Linked DNA regions of Nothobranchius furzeri. The protein of the gene in region 2 purifies or fractionates together with the protein of the main gene of each other region. This does not show direct contact. Links are inferred from orthologs where the notes say so. Each region holds a gene or a part of one and is shown on either strand. Other genes may lie near its edges.

Region 1 (3,430 bases), on a different chromosome or scaffold from region 2:
TTGAATTATGCAGCTATCATCATGAAAATACAATTAAATACAAAACCTTAAAATAATTTTAACTGTTTGATCCACTAACAAAAGCAGCAAATAAGCTTTGGTAGCTTTTTTGTGAGTTATGCTTTAGAAAACCTTTAAGTATAGCTTTGACTGTGAGATGACATCGCTAAACTCCAGCTCATGTCCAAGCTACTTGTTAGGCCTATCGGGAACTATACTAGATTAGTTTGCCGCCTATTTGTCCAAGTATTTCATCTCTTTGGCAAGTTTTGGTTCTTCCCCACCTCCCTTGCTCATGGGGTTCCACAAGGTTATGTGCTGGAGTCAATACTGTTCCTCCTTTATCTGCTACCCCTTCAGCACTCTGAGGTCCTTTTAAGGAATCTCCTACCATCCTCATGTAAATGACACCCAACTGCACATCCTCTTTAAACCCCATGAGATGTCCAAGCTGCAGCTGTCACACATCTGCTCACTCCATTAAAATCTGGATGGCTGGTAACTTTCTACAGCTGAATGAAGACTGAGATCCTAATCTGTGCCCCAGACAAGCTGGTTCTCAGAGACTGTCAGCTTGTTTCTCACACCAAACCCTGTCTGGAATCCTGGTGACCTTTGACCCAGCTCTTACTTTGGACTACCATGTCAGTTCTCTAGATCGCTCTTCCTTCTTTCACCTCAGGGACATTGCTAAACTTAGCCCTAATCTGAATTTGTTATCCACAGATTCATTCAAAAACCCTTTGTTGCATTTTGACAAATTTTAATAAAACAGGACAAAACTTGTTTAAGACACAAAAACAGAACAGAGGAGTACTTGTGTTAGAATGTTTATTTAAAGTTATTCCCACTGCGCACCCCCTCCCTGTGTGAAAGCCTAATCTGAAAGGAGGAGGATACAGGCCACTATAACGCCACATCAGCACATTTGTTGACAAGGCTACTGGTTTTGACTCAACACCTTCCTCATGCACTGGTTTGACACTCTGTGCTGCGCTGTAGCAACACACCAGCATGATGAGGCCTGTTCAGAATCAATCCCAGGAGGAAGAAGGTCCACTAAGATAGGGCTGAGAGTTTTGACTCCAACCAATGTTTAAAAATGAAGGCAGTTTTACTAAATTTCCAGTTCCACAAAGAAGAAAATGGCAATTGTGAGGCAGAGAAATAATTTGGATAGCTTCTCTTTTTCCTCAATGTGGCTGCTGATCCACAAGACGTTGATTTGATGATGCCACTAAAAGAAAACCTGAGGCTCGAGACGAACCCAACGTTTGTCACAGTGAGGCCGTCGTCCTTCTCCAGTCAGTGACACCGCTCCTATCCTCTCCTTCCACACAACAACAGATGGACTAAAGGAAGATCAGAGTAGCACCAAATCACACCATTGATACAGACACCAAGTGCAAAGCAACTAATTATAATAGAAAGAAAATGGGCTGTTCCAGTTATTCCAGCATAACACTGGACCAAAACACCAGTGGCCATGTTTGTTACACGTATCAAGTGTTACCTGCGTAGCGGACTACAGATCTCCGAGGGGAATGATTTCTTCGTTGATAAAAAACTCAATGGTCTCCTCCTCCCAGTCGTCCACGTTGCTGTCAAGCTCATCAGTGTCCACTCCTGGAAGACCAAACCATCCAAATGTTAAAATGAAGCACAGAGGTCATCGAGGTCGAGCTTGTAAAAGCAGAGCCCCACCTCCTCTGAGCTCAAGGCGGAGGTTCTTCTGTTCTTGATAGTTCTGCAGCGCCGCCTCCCTGTAGTTACGGTACTCCTCCATCATGGCTCTGCGCTTGTCCACCAGCTCCTACGCTCACAAACACACATTTGTATGACTTCAGCAGTGAAGAAAATTAAGTGTCGGCAGACTCAAGCTTTCAAAGATGAAGGAGATAACATGAATGTACAGATCTGTACTTCAATGAAGAGTAAAATGTCAAAAAGGAGGAACAGGTCAAACCTTTGAAGCCTTGGACTGGCTCAGACGATCCTTCTGCTCAAAGATCTTTGAGTATTTCTTAAGATCCTTTTTGATCATCTGCAAGGGAAAACACAAGTTAATTAGGACTGTTCTAAAACAAGGAGGTTGAAATGTCATGTCAAGTATTTATGAGCCTCAGATCAGAAATAGAATCAGGAGCTGGAGTGCAGCTCTCATACGAGGTGTCAGAAAGTTTTTATCTGTCATCACCGGCTCCAGACACACATTTTACAGGCAAACTGGTACCTTAATCTGATCTATGCTGAGCAGAGTGGGAGGTCTGGGCCTCCAGAGCAGCTGACAGAACCGGTCCTTGTTGTTCTTCTGGAGGAGACGGCCCTGGAAGGTCCATAGCCAGTACGCGTTGTCCACCTAGACAAATGAGTCCAAAAGAAGGGATGAGTTTAAACAGAAGAGAAGAGCGAGTGAGTTTGTGGAAGCAGGACACACCTTGTGGCTCCACCAGGAGACGGAGGTAACGACGTATCGGCCGGTCGGGTCCCATTCTACGTCAGAGGCCATGTAGTGCTCTGCTATGTTCATCAAGGTGCAGTCAGAGGTATCCACGAAGGCTAGAGCGCCGTTCATACTGAACACAGAGGCAAAACAAAGACTTGGTACTGGGGCAGGTGCAAGAGGTGAAAGGTGAAAGAAAAGATACAAGCCTCAGAACAGCATTAGAATCAGGAGCAAAGCTCTCATATGAGGTGTCAGAAAATAAAGTTTATCATCAGCGGCTTTTGAGAGAAAACACACACACACACACACACACACACACACACACCCTACCTTCTGAGTCCAGCCAGCACCATAAACTGTCCCTGGGGGCTCCAGAAAATGCTGTTTGCCTGCTGTTTGTCAAACATTTCTGTAAAAATAATAAAAATTACAAGAGGGAGTAAAGACACTAAAAAAACGACTTTCGCTCATCTGCCCAACCAACTGACTTATGAGCTCGATCTTCCCGTTGTTTTTGACGTGATAGAAGGAAGCGTTGATTCTGGGAGACTCTCCGTGGAGAACAGCAAACTTGCTGCCGTTGGGCTCCCAGGCAAATGCGATGATGCTTTCTAAGAAGACAGGACACGAACGGATCGCATTAGATTACTTCTATAAAATAAAACGGTCAAAAATAGATGCAAAAATGCTTCTTTTTTTTGCTCTCACCCTTCATCTCCACGACATCTACAGGAACCTGCTTCTCTCTCATTCGGAAGATTTCAAAGTTGGTGACAACACCCTGGAACCGAACAGAGATGGGCCTTTTATCGTAAATCCAATAAGATATAAAGACAGTCTATCTCTGGCTGCATACCTGAGTTCCTTTGGGAGTCCTGTCCACTTTCACACACAGATAATCTCCATTTCGCTGCCAGTGCAGTTTGCAGTCAACTACATTGAAGAGATTACGAACTCTGATCTCTTGACGAGACGGCATCTGCA
Region 2 (3,772 bases):
TAAGACAGACTTCAGTTTTCAACAGTAATTTTTAACAGTGTAATCAAGCAGAACAACAATCACCACCACCCACCCGCTACACTGATACTAAAAAATACACATATGAGAAAATAAAAAACAACAAAAAATCACGAATAACAGGCGCATCAAAACACAACAAACCTCAAGCAAACAACATTAGTTCTTAATCTAGTGTTCCTGATCTTCTCAGGTTTAGTATATGGGACGTTGTCTCCACAATACACTGGTGGGTGAGAATCTTTCCACATGGAAGAATGAGTCTTTGAGCCATTAAACGTGTTACAACCAGGTGTCTAGGGGGCCTGGGGTAACATGGAGGACGCGTGACACAAAGGAAAATTAACAAAAGTTTTATTTACTGTCTCTTAATTCAGAAAAGATGACTATTATTATTGTTAACCACCATGGATCTAAATCCACTTTTACCAAAACAGGTTCAAACAGTAACATGTAACATAACTCTAAAGAGCACAATATCGAAGTTCTAAGTGGGAGACAACAGACCAGAGGAAAGGCAGCTCTGCGCTATTGTCCCCATTGGTGAGGAGCTCCAGCAGGTCCTTTAAACAATTTGCGGCTGATGAAAACCCAGCTCAGCTGGTGCAGGGAGGAGCAAGGGTGAGCCAACAGGTCATAGTCTGCAGGCAGGCTCCTCAGATGCAACATAAAAATGCACAGAAAAATGAAATCACAACACAAAAAGGCTCCAGCCGTGACAAAACGTCAAAAGGTGACAAATCTATAATTCAGTGTCTGAAGAGGAATTCACTGCAACTGCTCCAAACAAAGCAAAGTGTCAGGGTGCACAGTTGTCCCACAGATCTTGAAGAGTGCATTAAAAATACCCCCGCAAATCTCCTGTAGGTTCAGGCACGTCCAGAACACGTGAAGAAGTGAACTGGATTAGAGCCCTGCTCTGACGCCCGGCCCTCGGCATTCTATTTTTCTGTGAATAAATTCGTTCTGCAGTTAGAAAAATACAGCATTCATTGCTGGTTTTTCTAACTGGAGCATTTTCAGAGCGGCAGATTAAATTTACAAACGCTATAATAATTGGGGGCAATGTGCTCTGCAGTTAGAAAATTAGAATGCTGCTTTTTTTTTCTAATTGCACAAGAGCGCATTTTCAGAGCAGATAAATTTTACAAACGCATCCGATTAATATTGTGTTCGTAAATTTCATCTGCCGCTCGAAAAATACGCTCTGTTAGAAAAAAAATCTGCATTGATGCTGTTTTTCTTTTTTACTGCAGAACGCTTCTCACAGAATGCTGAGCATTCTATCACGCTAAAACATTATGAAAGGTTAAAAAAAAGTCTGGCTCGGGTCGGACCTGAGAATCCTGAAAACCTTTTCGGACCGGGTCGGGCTGGGGCTCCACCCCCTCGGGCCGGGCCGGACACAGGCTCAGATTTTAGGCCCGTGCAGGGCTCTAAACTGGATACTTGCTCGGCTCAAGGATTTATGAACGTTCTGTAAAATCTCGTACCAGACCTGCAACAATCCAGTACCCAGGTCCAACTCTTATTTCTGATAAAAAAGCATCCAGACTGGTCTGATGGTCTGAGCTAAGCTGGGTGTACTTAAAACAAGGAAGACGGAAAATGGATGGATACCGCTGCAGTCGGAACCAGGTGCCCATGCCACATACGCAAGATCATGCTCAGCTCCTCTGCAACAGTCTGAGATTAGTGGGAGATTGGCTACATGCTAACTCGAAGCTACAAAGAGCTTGGAGCCAAAGGGGGTTAGCTACGAACTACCAGAGCTAATTCAAATCTAACGGAGGTTTTCGAGTGCTTTAGTGTGAAAAACAAGGTTGAATGACCCAAAAGTGACGCAGCATCAACTGAAAGAGCTGCAGTGTTTCTGTGATCTCCCTCAGCGCTTCCCAGATAACGAGGACAATTGCTGCCTTGCATGGAAGCCAAGCAGCCGCACGGCTCAGCTGTCACGGGAGTGGGTGGACACCTGCTTCTAGCAACTATTCCCAGTCGGGATACAGGAAGTCGGGCGCCCGCCTCGCTGGGCTGCCTCCAGGATGATGGAGCTGCAAATCATTCACAAACCCTGTCTGGTCATGTGAAACTAAAATGGGTAGCACCGTCTTGAGGTGCCTGACCAGGACCTTCACCAGAATTTTAGCATCTACATTCAAAAGCAAAGCCGTACTATAAGAGCATAAGGGTTTGGTGTTTTAGTCTTTTTTTAAAAGCACAGAAATAACAGCTTGACGCGTATGTGGCAGAAACGACCAAGCTGTAGCGAACTCATTGAAGACCAACAACAGCAATGGTGAGAGTGGCCCATAACGTTTAGAAAGTAAGCCACCATCCTGTCTGGGAGATTTGCTTCTCGGCGTGTTGCTGATCACAGAAGCAATCTCTCTTACTCAAATATCTTTCTAGATCCTCGGCCATATCCACACTGATAAAGGGAATCGTTATACCGTCGACCAAAGCTTCAAAATCACCCTCCAGCAGAGTCGAGACAAGGACAGCAGTCGGTAAAATTGACCAAACTTGAGTTGATAGTTTCATTCAAGCATTAAGTGATCTGTAACCGCTCGTTGTCCTAGCACAAGAAAGGTACTGAAGCTGTGAAACTGGATAAATCTACTCTTTCAGAAGGGTCCTGGGACGTGGAGCCCTGCAGGTCTGATCAGCCCGTGACGCATGCCCAACTACTACCGTGGATAGTCACTTCGGAAATAAAAAAATGCTCTTCCCCCATCTGTTCATAATATGACCTGTTAGAGGTTTATTTAGAAATAATATTTTTATTACATACTTTTTCCTTTTCTCTTTCTCTGCAGACCCAACCAAGTTTTTTGGTTGTGAACTCGGCGCTCAGACCCAGTTTGATGCCAAAAACGATCGCTACATCGTAAATGGATCCCACGAGGCGAACAAGTTGCAGGATATGCTTGATGGGTTCATCAGGAAATTTGTGCTGTGTACCGAGTGCGACAACCCTGAAACTGATCTGGTGAATGAATCTACGTTTTCTCTGAAATGGATTCTAAGAGATTTTAATTCAAGGAACTAGTAAATCTAAATTTGTCTCATTGGTAATTGTAGGTTTTTGAAGGATTTTACTTTGTAGACTATAAAACGATTAGTTAATTACTTTTTCTTGGTGTTTCGATTAAATTTTAGAAACACAAATGTGAAAACAAGTAGATTAAGTCAGATTTCCAAATTCAAAAGCTAAGTGACTGTGATTGCCGTCTTTGCAGCATGTCAATCCCAAGAAACAAACCATCGGCACTTCCTGTAAGGCTTGTGGAAACCGCGGCATGCTAGACACCAGACACAAACTCTGCACATTCATCCTCAAAAACCCACCAGGTGAGAGATTCTAGTCTGTCGCCAAGTTTACAAGACAAGGAACCTCTTCTCATGCAGTCCCATAAACACGGCTGTGAAATTGTGTGCTTCACCACTAACAGAGAGCACTGACAGTGGGTCTGCATCTGCAAAGAAAGAGAAGGAAAAGAAGAACCGCAAAAAAGACAAGGAGAATGGCTCGAGCGGTGGCGAGGCTGGTAACCAAGACAACATTGATGCCCCTGAAGCTGTGGTATGTTTTTGGTTCGTCATGCACACATTTGGCATTCAGCTAGATGGATTCATCCACAAACAAACCCCCAAACTTTGTCCAAAAATAAAAACTACAACATTTACATCCAGTTAGGCTCTTTTTCTGATTTTAAGGTAACAAATTAAAAATTTTCCATGAGTTTTGTAT

What was found.
Region 1: the proteins of eif5 (region 2) and eif3ba fractionate together in Homo sapiens (co-fractionation; 3 studies listed by BioGRID and IntAct, with this or other methods). This does not show direct contact. The link is inferred for Nothobranchius furzeri from reciprocal best matches to the Homo sapiens genes EIF5 and EIF3B.

The regions. Positions count from the first base shown.
Region 1 is NC_091744.1:16,233,119-16,236,548, forward strand, and holds the end of eif3ba (eukaryotic translation initiation factor 3 subunit B), read right to left. Parts: coding exon 3,303-3,430; intron 3,228-3,302; coding exon 3,155-3,227; intron 3,058-3,154; coding exon 2,935-3,057; intron 2,856-2,934; coding exon 2,777-2,855; intron 2,727-2,776; exon of another isoform or gene 2,649-2,726; intron 2,577-2,648; coding exon 2,438-2,576; intron 2,360-2,437; coding exon 2,234-2,359; intron 2,203-2,233; exon of another isoform or gene 2,118-2,202; intron 2,045-2,117; coding exon 1,967-2,044; intron 1,814-1,966; coding exon 1,705-1,813; intron 1,627-1,704; coding exon 1,526-1,626; 3' UTR 1,514-1,525; intron 1,353-1,513; 3' UTR 815-1,352; downstream 1-814.
Region 2 is NC_091758.1:10,699,743-10,703,514, forward strand, and holds part of eif5 (eukaryotic translation initiation factor 5), read left to right. Parts: intron 1-2,837; coding exon 2,838-3,010; intron 3,011-3,260; coding exon 3,261-3,372; intron 3,373-3,473; coding exon 3,474-3,604; intron 3,605-3,772.